2 linked regions of the Oreochromis niloticus genome follow. The protein of the gene in region 1 purifies or fractionates together with the protein of each later gene. This does not show direct contact. Links are inferred from orthologs where the notes say so. Each region holds a gene or a part of one and is shown in the gene's direction. Other genes may lie near its edges.

Region 1 (7,510 bases):
ACCCTGGTTCTGCTGGCGGTTACTTCCTGTTAAGAGTGTTTTTCCTGTTGCCAAGTGCTTGACCAGAGATGGTCGTTTGATTGTTGGGTTTTCTCTGTATTATTGTAGGATCTTTACCTTACAATATAAAACACCTTGAAATGACCTCTGTTGTGATTTTGCGCTATATGAATTGAATAGAACTGAATTGAGCTGCAGATTTGTTGGCTGCATATCTGTGATGAAAGTCTCCTGGTTCACCACATCCCAAAGGTGCTCTAATGGACTGAGGTTTGTTAACCGTCGGGGATATTTGAATGCGGTGAACTCGACTCAAGATTGTTCAAGAAACAAGTTTGAGAGTATTTATGACATTCTGTTCCAGCAGAAGATGGAAACACCGTGGCCATAAAGGGATGGATTTTTGGCAAGTAGGCTGTGGTGTTCATACAAGGCACAGTTTGTACCCCGAAGTATGCCAAGAAAATATCACCAGCCTGAATTGTTGATACAAGACGTGATGCATCCATGCTTTTGTGTTGGTTATGCCAAAAGCTACTATCCAAATATCACAGCACAAATTGACACTCAACACACAACGCAATGTTTTTCTAATTTTTATCCAATTTTGGTGAGTCTGTGTAATTTTCAGCCTCAATTTTTTGTTCTCGGCTGACAGGAGTGACAACTGCTGTGGTCTTCTGCTGCTGTTGCCCATCAAGGTTCAATGTGCTGTGCTTTCAGAGATGCTCTCTCGCAGACTTGAACAAATGCTTGTTTGAGTTAATGTTACCTTCTTATCAGCTCAAAGCCATTCTCTTCCGACCTCTAGCATCAATGAGGCATTTTCGCTGGGCAAACTGCAGCTCACTGGATATTTTCTTCTTCTCTGTAAACCATAGAGATGGTTGTGTGGGGAAAATCCCGGCCGATTAGCGGTTTGTGAAATACTCAGACAGACCATCCAGCACCAGCAACTATGCCATGTTCAAAGTCATCTAAGTCACCTTTCCTCCCCATTCTGATGCTCACTTTGAATATATCATAACTCCATCTACATACACAGACCTACATACAGTCCATGTATTGTATACAAACTCGTGCACATTTGTAATTACAGAATGTTTTTTTTCAGGTTATTCAGCAGATTTGTTAAACCTTTATCTTTATGATATAAATAAACTGCAACACAACACAAATGTAGCAATAACTTCTCAAAAACTATGATGCTAAAACTACTTTCCACTACACTTAAAATCATAGCTTAATATGCTAATAGGCATGCTAATCAATGAGTTAATAACAGTAGTATATGACTGTAGTATTTCCCTGAAGGTTTTCAAAGCATGTCATACTTTATGAAATGTCAACCATTTCAATGAGCAGAAACCTCAATTAAAGGTCATAGTTCGGGTGGCTTTAAGCAAAGCACTGTTACCTCCCGTGACTCAGTGCTTTAGCTAACATGGCATTTGAACGTGGTATTAAATGTGGTGTTACTGTCAGCAGAGGAGTTGTAGTATCTGATCAAGGACTCCTTCTTGTCTCTAACAGAGCTTTTTCTCTTGAATTGGCATAGTTCATTTCAATAATGCATTTTCATAGTGTTGCCACCATGAAAAAAAAAATCTGCTTCCTTTAACTACTGATTTTATATTTAATGGCCTTATAACAGACTTCTATAACACAGCATCTATAACAGATATGTTTCTTGCCATGATCTAATAAAACTAACGGACTGTCATTACTACAGTTATCACACCAGATTAAATAAAACAGAAAATAATAGACTTGGAATTCATGTTTTAATAAAGATACTTCTCTCCCTATAAGTGGATATTTACATAGCATGAAATGAAACTATGATGCTATATATTATCACTATCCCATAATTAGAGCCCCACACAAATATAGGTTGGGCCAGGTTACTGACTCCATAATGTACAATGCACTCAGCACTCAGCACTTTTGCAGCAGAGGACACGTCACACCTGAACACACAGAGTTTGGTGCGTTCACAGTAAGTTTCAAATCAGTTTGTGAAGTACATGATTGTAAAGATAGTTTAAAAAAAAAAAAAAAGTCCCATTGTTTCCTTTTCCATTATAGCTCTAACAGATGTTGAATGTAGGTTATATATAGTCTCTCAGTTTCTGTCAGCGTCAACCTTAAAAAGTTTTCTGCATTCATAAGTCCACCAATTTTAACAAGGTCTCCAACAGTACTGGCTGAAACGCAGCTCTAAACCATGACAGACCCTCCACCGTGTTTTACAGACGGCTGTAGACACCCACTGTTGTAGCTCTCTCCTGGCCTCCTCGATACATAATGACAATGGTTTCAACCAAAACTTGTAAATTTAGAGTAATCTCTCCATCACACCTGTTCCCACTGATTTCCAGACCAGTTATTGTGCAATTTGGCATACCTCGGCCTTTTTCCCTGTTTTCCTTCCTTAAGAATGACTTCTTGACAGCCACTCTTCTACATTGCCATATGTTCCTGCATGTTAACTCTGAGGAGCACTTCCAGGCATTTATCACTTAAACTTGGCTGGATGTTTAATCATGGCTACACACAATGTATTGTTCCTAAACAAACTTTATTTTGGAAAAACTGATACACTATTATTTGCCAGTCTTGAGGTGTGGAAGCCAGGATTACTAGGAAGTCCTCAAACAACTTCTGACTTGACTCTGGATCAGCTGGTCTGTTTATATAATTATGGCTGTTAAACGTTTTCTTTTTTCTTTTCTAGTCCCCATTTTAAAAAGTATTCACACCGACACTCCAGGAGGTTTGTACACAAATATTATTTTTCTTGATATCTAAAGCTGGGACTAGACAGCGTTTCATCTCAGAAGAAAAATCACACACCACACGGGAAAGGAAATGAGTAGAGTTAAATGGGGCCTCAGCCCAGGCAGCGAGTTCAACATGACACATGTAAACATCCTCAGAGTTCATATCTCTCTCTGTGTGTGTGTGTGTGTGTGTGTGTGTGTGTGTGTGTGTGTGTGTGTGTGTGTGTGTGTGTGCATGGATGGGGTGCAAGAACGGCACACCTATTGCAGTTTTTGCTGCACCACCTAGAGGGCGACAACAGCCATCATCAATTTAAGTCCTTCCTGTTCACTATAGATAAGTTGTTTTTAACAATGAAAGTCCTCAGTGCACAGTTTAAGTCTGCACATGCTTCCAGATGTTGCAGTGTCAGAGGAAGCAGACAACCTCATCTATAGTCACAGTCTGAATGTCTATAGCCACAGCCTACAGCTGAGAGGAGGACTGTGAAAAATGCAAGCAAGCAAATACATTTTTCAAAACATATTTTAATGGCTTTTCCAGCACACAAATGATCATAACAGAATTATCTCAAAAGATTCTTATACTATGAATCTGCATTTCTCAGATTCATAGGCTCTTCACTACCTACAAGAAGGCCGAACTTTCCAGCAGTATGACAATATGCACTAGAACTTCTCAAGCTTCACCTTCCAGCCAGTGATTGAGCTCTGTGCTCCTCTGGAACTTAACTCATCAGCACCCAGTTTCAAACTGTCAGTAAAACTTCCAACTGGTACCAGTTTCATCAGAGTCCAGAAATCTTGTGGGCATTTTTACTATTATGGATAAAATATTATGAGATTTTCAAATGTCACACTTGCCGTTCGCAGCTGTCAGTGTAGCATTAATGCTATGGATGACATCCTCTCCCTTTGGTCTAAGACTGGTTTCAGATTTCAGGCGAATAAATGGCTGGTCAGCAAAATAGTGCATCATAACCGGAAAGCTTTTCCCCAGCCTTAAATGATGTCATTAAATGTTGTTGGATTTTTGTTTTTAAGGTGAAGTATTCGTAGAACTGTAACCTGTGAATTGGACACACAACTGACATTAAACACCGGAATACAGTAAATCTATTTTTTAAGCACAGGTTCTTGGTTTCAGGAGAATTTATTGGGTAGAGGAAAGGGTGAAGAGAGAGCAAGTGACACAGGAGCGATGCATGGGCTCCGACTGCGAAAACAAAAATGACAAAATATGATTCAATAAAAAAGTGATCAAAGACTGAATATAGACTCTGGTTATGGAGTCAATCACATTATGTAGAATTACAGTAATGTCTCTGTCAGTGTGTGGATGAGAGGCTCCAGGTCATTTAACTGAACAATAATGTCTCTAATAGTGTTTGTTGCAGTGGCGCTCATATATCTAAAGATCCCAGGCTTTGCGAGTCTGCAAATTAAACATCGACATTAATGTTACTGTTTATTATTTTTTGATGAGACAATGTCTCGCTAAAATGAATAAAGTCATCAGGCAGCTGTAAATGCAGTTTTGTATTCTTTCTTTCTTTTATATAAGATCAGTTGGTGGAAGCAGTTCATTAGATGTCAGTAAAAAGTAATTATAACGATGCAGGAACTAATTTAGTGCATAGAGTACTGAGCAAAACTCCCGAGTCACCACTCATCTTTTTATATTTTGCAAACATACATAAAATCAAATTAAATTAAATAAAAACTCCTATTTTTTTCAGAGTCTGGAGAAGTATTGTTAGGACCACTTTAAAAATAATAGGAGAGGCAGTCTCCTCGGAAGCAAAATACAAAGAAATGATGTGTGGCTCAAAACCTTTGCCCAGTATTTACCTATAAGTTAATTTTAGGACTAGCATGATGAAAAGAAATGATTGACTTAAAAAAAAAAAAAAAAAAAAAAAAGCCCCCGAAAGGTGATGTCTCCTGTCTGCGTACGTGTTTTGCACGGACAACAAAAACGTTTCCGCACGGACGATTTTAACAGTCGCACTGGGTGACAGCGTGCCGTTTCAACAGCATGGCGTCACGTAGTGGTTATTGAGCCGGTGTTTCGCTTGCAGCTTTGTTTGGTAACGAACATGTCGGGAGCGTCAGGCGGAGAGAAACGCCCTCCTCCGAACTGGATCCTGCAGCATCCCGCGGTGAGTGTTAGAGCAGCTCCGTGTGTGCAGGCAGGGAGTCTGCCCGGAATGTACTGTGAGTAATCTGTGTGTGTGTGTGTCTCTCAGTACCAGCAGATGAAGGACCTGCAGGTTGGGGACAGCGCTCAGGTGCATGCAGCTTTTCTTGTGTACATGGATCTTACTGAGGGTGAGTTTGGCAGGGTTCTGAAACACGGGAGTCAGTTTGAGATTCCCTGTGTGGTGTATCCTGGACTCCTTACATCTCCCAGCTCTTCCTCCTTTCTTACAGAAGGAAAAACTTGATGTCATAACTTAAGCTCATACTCACACTGAGCTTGCTCTCTGCAGTGCGGCGCTGGAAGGAGGTGTCCTGCGTGAAGAGTCCTGAGCTGCAGGTGGTTTTACTGGAAGCGAGGGAGAAGGAAGGCGCACCCACTCTGACGATCCTTCCCCTGCCTGCTCACCAGTCTGTGACTCACAAAAGGTGTTAAGACGCTGGTCAAGCTCCCACACTTTCACCCTCACAGGTTACCCTCCCAAACCTCTGAGTCTTACGGCTTCTTCCTTTTCTGCTGTGCAGCATACGACACGTCCTGGACAGAGGCTTTCCTATGCTGCTGTGTGCAGTAGCCGCTGACTCCACGCTGGTCTACCAGAGGATGACTGACGGCCTGGTGACGCCGGACCCTCCTGTAGGACCTTTTCAGGATGTGGGACGCCGTCAGCACCGGAAGAGACGGCAGCAGCGCTGAGCAGCTGACTGAGAATGTGATGTATTGCTCAAAAATGGAAAACAGCCCCACAGGACCCCTTAAGCGGGAGTATGTGATTGTTAGGACGACCTTGCGGAGACCTTTGGCATCGTGAAGTTCACCTCAGATGCATGTTGATAGGTTAAGGCAAAGAGATAAAATTAACCTTAAGAAAAGGGTGCAGAGATTAGAAGTAACATTCCTTTTTTAATGACAGTTGAACTCCTGTTACAATCTGGAGTGGTGTGGTTTGTTTGCTGCAGTGTATGCACACTACAGAGTTGACTAGAAGCTTTCACAATGAAATCAGGGATGCCATATCTCGTTTCCATGCCTCCATAGAAACCTTTCAATGGGGCCAGATGAGTCTGCATCCACAAAACTTACAGCTACGAAGCCAGTGAATATATATATGATAAATGTGAAAAATTACAGGAAAAGTAGTTCCTGAAAAGGTAGTTCATTACCCAGACTGTCCTGCAATTCTGAAATATAAAGTCTTTGTTAATTTAAGGAAAATGATCTTTGTTTGTTGTAAAACAAAAACAGACATTTCTATAGTAGATTGTAGGAAAACAGGAACTTATCTGTCATTTGTGGTGTGAATGGCAAAGCTGTAACACTAATGAAGATACAGCTAAAAGTTCATAATCTATGCACTCCTTTGATTTTTCCGAAGCTGTCCAGTGGGTTAGATCAGACACTTCATTTCATTATTTTCATTTTGTACCTTTTCTGCATTTGTTCATGAGGGAAATGTCTCTTGTTTGTCTAAAAAGCAACGCAGAAAGTAGACACAAGGGGATAGTGTCTCAAGTCTAATATTTTGGGGGAGGCTGTGTGCACGTGTCCCCCTGAAATTTACGCCTATGGTTTATAATCCATGTCAACACATTGGTTTTTGACATGAATCCCTTAAACACAATTATTAAGACCTATTATAAATGTCAGTGATTGTTTTATTTATTGTAAAAAAACAAATGTGCCTTATTTTGAAATAAACATCAGGTGTGAGAAAGACTAATAGTTCAAAATGTATTCTTTCTTAATTTTTTAAAAAAAAGGACCTAAGGTAAACATTGCTTTATTTTTTAAAAACTTGGTGCCAATGCTGAAGTATGATTTGAGGGATGTTATGAATGTTAAAGGTGTTTTTCCACAGCAGGCATTTTGGCTGGAAATGGTAAGTAAACAGGTGTTACTAAATGCAGAGCTTTGATTAATGTGATTAGTAACACCTGTTTCAAAAATGGCTGCTGACGAAGGTCTGAGTTAGCACGCCAACTAACTCAGCTTGTCGATAAAAGTTGCAAATTGTTTCCCGCTTCAGTTTGTAGACTTTATAAGTACCAAAAAAATCGTTAAAACGTTCTTTTATTAATTTTGGAGTGCAGTGCAGAGATACCTGTGTTGGTGTATATAGTGTGTTTGCCAATAATTCAACAAGCAGAAGTTGTGCTTGCAATCATTTTGAAATTGAGGCCATTAAATTTTGTGTCCACCAGAGAGCACTGATGATATTTTTCAGCACAAAGGATGAAAGATGTCAGCAGTGATATTAAATAAGTAATTATTGCTGCTCATCAATCTGGGAAGAGTTACAAAGCCCTTTAAAACACTTTGATGTCCATCCTCCTCCTGTGAGAAAGATAATGATGCGATCGTCTCAGTAGTGGACATCTCAGTAAACTAAGACCGTGCAATCTCAGACTCTACATCAGTGTCAGCATGTTAAATGTTAAACTTCATGACATCAAAGTTAGAAACAGACGGAGCCATTATGGCCTGTTTGGAAAGGTTATCAGGAGAAGACCTGCTCACTTTGAAAGAA
Region 2 (7,344 bases), on another chromosome or scaffold:
GGAGAAGGTAATACATGCTTTTATTTCAACTCGGCTTGACTATTGTAATGCACTTTATGTTGGAGTCGGCCAAACATCTATTGCACGTCTTCAGCTCATTCAAAATGCTGCTGCCTGCCTCTTAACTGGTACCTGCAGGCATGAACATGTAACACCTATCCTGTCCTCTCTTCATTGGCTTCCTGTTCATGACAGAATTAATTTTAAAATCCTAACGCTGGTTTAGAAATGCCTAAATGATCTTGCTCTCCCATACCTTTCCGAGTTACTTCAGCCATATATTCCTTCGCGGACCCTCAGATCAGATGAGCTGCTGTTGGTTGTCCCAAAATCTAGGCTAAAGCGTAGAGGAGAATGAGCCTTTTCAATTATGGCTCCCAGACTTTGGAATATGCTGCCTTTAAATATTAGACAGGCATCTTCATTCCAGTTTTCAAGTCACTTTTGAAAACTCACCTTTTTTCGATAGCGTTTAGACTGGTGTGAGTTGATATGTTTATTAGAGTTGGATGTCTCAAGACCCTTCTTGGTCTTGAGACCGGTCTCGAGACCACTTTTACATGGTCTCGGTCTTGTCTTGGTCTCGCTGTCTCAGTCTTGTTGTCTCAGATCAACATAGTGGTCGGGAGATTTGGAGTCAACAGTATCCATGACACACAACGTAACGTTCGATAATGTGTCATGCGCAAAGCATCAGCTCTAAGAGCCGTGCTTAGAGAGCGCTTTGTAATGAATCAGAAGTGTCGACTCCCATTGAGCGAGAGCCGGCTCCTCACTTAATTTCCTTTGGCTGCTCAGCTCTCACACAGTGGCTCAGCTGTGCTCCAATCCCTCCATATTGTGGCCAATCACATGCAAGGATATAGGATAATATCATTATGTGAAAAACAGAGAGGGTGATGGACGCGACAGTCAAGTGGAGCGTGCGTCTGTCCTCTCAGTACGTGAGTCAGCCAGTAGACAGCGGTGAGGAGGGCTGTGTGAGTGCATCGCAAAAACACATAAATATGCCTGACACCCGTAAACGAGGCAGCATCTGGCTGCAGTTTAAAGACTTTTTTTGTCTCGGTCTCGTCTCGACTTTGTCTTGGTCTTGACTCGGTCTGTCTTGGTCTCGATACCCTCTGGTCTTGGTATTGTCTTGGTCTTGGTTTAGGCGGTCTTGACTACAAGTCTAATGTTTATTATGTGTATTATTATGTGTTTATGTGAGTGTCAGTGTTTTTTATCTTGTGTTTTACCCCTTTGTTTCTGTACAGCACTTTAGGCTAACTTTCTGTTTTTAAATGTGCTACATAAATAAAATGGATTTGGATCTGTCTGGTCAGACTCAAACGCAAAACTCAGTAGTGCAAGTTTAGAGATTTAGTTATAATGCAGGTGAGGGTTGTGCTATTTACAGTCTTTCAGCAGTTTTTAGTTCAAAAGCTTCTTATTTACAAAATCCAACAAAGGAGCGTTTCCAAAACTGATGGGAACCACTGGGATGTCTTAAACAGAGGACAAGACACATTAGAAATCTTTGTGATGACAACAAGGACCACGACGTGCAGATCAGTGAGGAGATCTCTACCACAGTGAAACAAAGCTCAGGCAAAGACTGAATGTCACATCCCAGCATAGTCAGCTGTTTGCCAGATGTTTTGCAGGTGTTTTGCTTCAGGTGTGTCAGGGAGAGGGCAGAGATCCCACCAGCATTCTCGCCCTGTAAGGTAAAGCAGGGTAAGTAGACACACACACACAGAGCAATAAGCACACATACCAAGAGGGAGAGAGAGAAAAAGACATGGTGTATCTTATGTACTAACGGTGTATATATAAGTTTGACTATATATGGAACATAGATATATGTAATTATGTAGCAAAGACAAAAAATGATAAATAACTCTAAATATGTTTTATATTTTAGATTCCACCCTTTGCTTTGTTGACAGTGCTGCAAACCCTTGGCCTTGTCTAAATGAGCTCCATGATGTAGTTACTTGAAATGGTTTCACTTCACAGCTGTGCCTTGTCAGGGTTCATTCGTGGAATTTCTTGCCTTCTTAATGAGGTTACGCCATAGGTTCCGTTGTGCAGAAGTCAGGTTGGTAGCTGACAGCCCTATTTGACAACTGTCAGAATTCATATGGCAAGAACCAGGCAGCTAAGTAAAGAAAAATGACAGTCCTTCATTACTTAAAGAACTGAAAGTCAGTCAGTTCAGAAAATTGCTAAAACTTTGAATGTGTCCCCAGTTCCACATAGAGTTCCAGTAGCAGACACATCTCTACATCAGGCCTTTATGCTCAAATAGCTGCTAAGAAACCACGACTAAGGAAAAGCAACAAGCAGAAGAGATTTGTTTGGGCCAAGAAACACAAGGAATGGACATTAGACCAGTGGAAATCTGTGCTTTGGTCTGATGAACCAAATTTGAGATCTTTGGTTCCACCCGTGTCTTTGTGCAACACAGAAAAGGTAAACAGATGGTCTCTACATGCATGGTTCCCATCGTGAAGCATGGAGGAGGAGGTGTGATGGTGTAGGGGTGCTTTGTTGGTGACACTAGTGGGGGTTTATTCAAAGTTGAAGGCACACTGATCCAGCATGGCTACAACAGCATCCTGCAGTGACATGCCAACAGATCCAGTTTACGTTTAGTTGGACCATCATTTATTTTTCAATAGCACAATGACCCCAAACACACCTCCAGGCTGTGTGAGGGCTATTTGACCAAGAAGGAGAGTGATGGAGGGCTGCGTCAGATGGCCTGGCCTCCACAGTCACCTGACCTAAACTCAGTTGAGATGGTTTGGGATGAGATGGACCACAGAGTGAAGGCAAACGAGCCAACAAGTGCTCAGCATCTCTGGGAACTCATTCAGGACTGTTGGAAAACCATTTCAGGTGAAGGAGTGTGCAAAACAGTAATCAAAGCGAAGGGTGGCTATTTTGATGAATCTGAAATATAAAACGTGTTATGAGTTATTTCACACTTTTTTGTTTACTATATAATTCCATATATGCTCATTCACAGTTTTAAGCCTTCAGTGAAAATTTACAATGTAAATAGTCATGAAAAGAAGGTGTGTCTAAACTTTTGACTGGTAGAGAACTTGAGTGGAGTTAATTTAGAATTAACGCTACCTGGGCACACGTTTGGCTTGGTGGGTGAGCAGGCAATCTACTGCAGAAAGCAGCAGCCCCCTGCTGACCTTTAGGAAGAAAAACACATTACACACAAATGTATTGGCTTCTTTTCTTGGGAGACACAAGTGTTTTAAATTTTATCTTGAAGTCGTTTTTCCAAATATTTTGAATAGTTTGTTCGGATTTCGCCTGTCATTTCCAGGTTAAAGCTCTCTCCTGTTTCATTTCAAAAGGGTGTACATGAATTAACTGCCAGGGTGAATTGCCAAATGGCATCAACTGGCAAGACTTGCTTCCTGATGCCCTGTACAAGGACTTTGATTGGTAGCTTGAAGTGGGCTGCATTATTTACTGGCAGGACTGGATCATATCACATGTCAAATGGGCAAACAAACCAAAATAGGGATGAATGCCACTGTTTCCAGCAACAGACAGTAACAGACAGATTTGTAGAAAGCAAACATCTGTTGAGCAAAAAATAAACATGTTTCAAGGTTAGATGTTAAAGAAATTGTCACGTACAGCAGCAAAAGTTTGAGGTCAACACACACAGAAACACACATGATAACACAAATATCAAACTATTAAAATATTAAATATATAAAATTCCATGGAAGACAAAACAAGATTATAATAAGATTAATGCACACAAGACTGAGTAGTCAAAATCCAGTTTTTCAGATAAGCAACAAGCAAGAAGATACCTGCCACAGTGAAACAAAGCTCAGGCAAAGACTGAATGTCACATCCCAGCATAGTCAGCTGTTTGCCAGATGTTTTGCAGGTGTTTTGCTTCAGGTGTGTCAGGGAGAGGGCAGAGATCCCACCAGCATTCTCGCCCTGTAAGGTAAGGCAGGGTAAGTAGACACACACACACACACACACACAGCAATAAGCATAAGCACACACACACACACAGAGCAATAAGCATAAGCACACATACCAAGAGGGAGAGAGAGAGAGAGTATTTATGCCTGATCCAATTTTCTGCCTTCTTGTGGGACCCTTTGGTTTGTTTTGGCCTGAACAAATCAAGTATTCTGGAAAAAAAAAACCTTCCCTGATTTTAAACTGTGCTTTATTTTTAAGCCCTTTGGCGCCCTCTGATGGCCACTTTATAACTGATGAATATGACGGTCACTAGGACCCAGAGGAGCGCTGCAGTAGCAGGGAGACCCGGCATCATGGCGGATCAAAACAACACAGACGATAAAGGGAAGTTCTACAGTGAAATTTTAAGGTGTGTTTTTACCTTTAACGGTACCTGTGAGCGGGCTTATTCGCAGGGTAGCGGTATTTTCTCTGGTGTTCTCCCTCAGCGTCTGTTTGTCATTGAATCACTGTGGTCGGAACTCTCAGAGTTCTTGTGCACATGGTAGCACGGGTTAGTTTAAAGCTAATTGTTATCTTCAACGCGAATACGTGCTGAAGAGAAAACGCCTATAGTTTCATTAAAACGCACTGACGAAGCTGCACAGCTGTTTCCAGAGAAACACTGTTACTGAAATATTATCTGGACACGTTTTCTGAAATATTGACACTCTGTATTCGGCTCTCTGTCTCCCTCTGTTGTGTGTTTTGGTAAAAACAGCCGTGGGAGAGAGAGAAAGCATTAGGAAAGTTAGGAATTAAGTAACAGTAAAATATTTTTTGGAAGTCTGCTGTTTTTGTTTTTCTGCACACAGACAAAGCATCAGGGTGGAGTCCTTTTAAAACAAGTCTGGGCGAGATCCCGTGGCACTGAGTCACGACTTTATGACTCAGGATGGCACTTTAATTACACGCAGATGGACTTCATAAGTGATACTAACGTTATACACCAACATGCAAAGCCTGGAAAGTATGCCAGTAACTTGGGGACTGCTGCTTTCTTGTCATGATAATCTTTCACATCGATGCAGCTTTGCTAGAAAGATAAACAAGTTTTACAGTTACCTAAAACTCAGGTATGAACTGAACGTGGGCAAGAAAAATCACTTTAGTTAAATGAAACACAAATAAACTACAACAACCTGTGCAGCTCAAAATGCTTCAGATAACTGAGAAACAGAAACGGAACAAATTAGACAGCGAAACAAGTAACATGCAGTTCTTAGCAATGTAATGTACACAAAATAAAAGCTAAAAGCTGCTTTTTGGGACCCACGGGCCTGTCATGATTCGTAGCCTGGCACCATGTGAGACAAATATGATGTACAGAGACTAAGAAGTGCCTTAAAAACAGCTAAAAGGATTCTAAAGTCATTGCACAAACTAGCAGGCAGCCAGCATGTTGTAAAACTGGTGTTACGGTGCGTTCACGCGATAGAGGCGGCCAGAGCGTCAGGTTTACATGTAAAGTCAGTGGAAAGAGCGCGATGACACGCGATTGCGCGTCCGGTGAAAATTCGGAAGCAGATTTGCGTCGCGAAAACGCCTGAAACGCCTGAAACGCGCGTCAGTGTACCACGTGGGGCGCGTTTGGCTCGCGAAGAAAACCACGCGTGTCAGATTGTGTGTTGCATTTTGTGCACACGTGCGTATCGCGCCAACCGCTGGAGTTGGAAAATCTGAACTCCGGCGTCAAATCGCGCCGCAACAACCAATCAGGAGGCTGGTGATGTGGCTGTGACCTAGGTACTGACGCGCACTGTCCCGCTATTTTCCCACTGATGTACAAATACCTTTCCGCCAACAAGATAATGTGTTTATTCAGAGGACATCTGCAGGAGAAAGTGGAAGAGCCTCAGGGACACATATAATAAGGAGAAGAGGAGTGGGTCTGCAGCAGGATCGGGGAAGAGATGGAAGTTCTTCGCGGTCATGGGGTTTCTGGACCCCTTCCTCACCCCGCGGGAGACTAGCGGCAATATGGTGCGGACCGTGGAGAACTTCCCCCCCCGAGGACCAGGGACAGCCCGGAGAGGCAGCAGGGGAGTGTCAGTCAGAAGGACAAGGTTTACAGTGAATTAATGTAGGCAGTTAATTTATGCGTGTTGTCATATAGGAATATATTTTGTTTATTAATAAAACAGTATACAGTGGTCCCGCTGTTCACCCGTCACATTTCGCTGATTTTTGTTATTGCACCGTACAGCTTTCAACAATGCGCATTGCATTCTGCAGCCTGATTGACAAATCTCCTCCGTGCTGTGTCTCCTGCGCTTGCCAAACTTATCATGTTTGGTTTTGATAACCATCACGTCCAATAGAAAAAACAGCACAAAAACACTCATAACTATGACCCTCATTCGGAGATACACACCTGCACCGCGAGGGAAAAAGGCGCACGAAAGTGGCGCGCAGACGGAGAAAAAGCACAGCATAATAAAACTTCCTCCCACATTTCCAGTTCACGCGCGTCAAAATATGCAATTTTGACGCGCGATGGATTTTTCTTGGACACACATTGAGGTGCGAATGTGCACGCGTCAAATTTGGGGCGTTTTCGCTCGCGCCAATCGGCGTTCGGTGTGAACGCACCGTTACGGTGCGCACACACCGAACGCGATAGAGGCGGCCAGAGCGTCAGGTGTACATGTAAAGTCAATGGAAAGAGCGCGATGACACGCGATTGCGCATCCGGCGAACATGCGGAAGCAGATTTGCGTCGCGAAAACGCCAAAACCCGTAAAACGCGCGTCAGTGTACTGCGTGGGGCGCGTTTGACTCGCGAAGAAAACCATGCGTGTCAGATTGTGTGTTGCATTTTGTGCACACACCCGTACCGCGCCAACCGCTGGAGTTGGAAAATATGAACTCCGGCGTCATAAACACATCAGTGTTTATTCAGTGTCCTCTGAATAAACACATTATCTTGTTAGCGGAAAGGTATTTGTACATCAGTGGGAAAATAGCGGGACAGTAGGCGGGCTTGCTACCTTTTGCGCGGCTTTATCGGGTCAGTCTGAAAATTAAAAAGGAGAATGAATGAACTTACCAGGTTGCCCGATCTCCTCACTTCTGTGCCTCCAAGCTCGGTCCTTTTTATTCCTGTCTCGGTAGAAGTAGCAGCTGGCATCATACAGCTCTGGGTGATTAGCCACGGCAGTGATGAGTTTTTCCTCCATACTGAATGAAGAATGAAGGGCTTTGGTTTGATCTGCCCCTGTGACCTGGTTACAGCCACGTCACCGGCCTCCTGATTGGTTGTCGGGCCGCGATTTGACGCCGGAGTTCAGATTTTCCAACTCCAGCGGTTGGCGCGGTACGGGCGTGTGCACAAAATGCAAC

Evidence for each region. The genes of interacting proteins can lie anywhere in the genome.
Region 2: the proteins of tsen15 (region 1) and tsen54 purify together in Homo sapiens (affinity purification with mass spectrometry; 4 studies listed by BioGRID and IntAct, counting the BioPlex papers as one, with this or other methods). This does not show direct contact. The link is inferred for Oreochromis niloticus from reciprocal best matches to the Homo sapiens genes TSEN15 and TSEN54.

The regions. Positions count from the first base shown.
Region 1 is NC_031982.2:10,348,125-10,355,634, forward strand, and holds tsen15 (tRNA-splicing endonuclease subunit Sen15), read left to right. Parts: upstream 1-4,728; 5' UTR 4,729-4,882; coding exon 4,883-4,945; intron 4,946-5,032; coding exon 5,033-5,114; intron 5,115-5,275; coding exon 5,276-5,411; intron 5,412-5,507; coding exon 5,508-5,679; 3' UTR 5,680-6,703; downstream 6,704-7,510. UniProt on the Homo sapiens protein: Non-catalytic subunit of the tRNA-splicing endonuclease complex, a complex responsible for identification and cleavage of the splice sites in pre-tRNA. It cleaves pre-tRNA at the 5' and 3' splice sites to release the intron.
Region 2 is NC_031969.2:32,227,432-32,234,775, reverse strand, and holds the start of tsen54 (tRNA-splicing endonuclease subunit Sen54), read left to right. Parts: upstream 1-4,130; 5' UTR 4,131-4,256; coding exon 4,257-4,372; intron 4,373-7,344.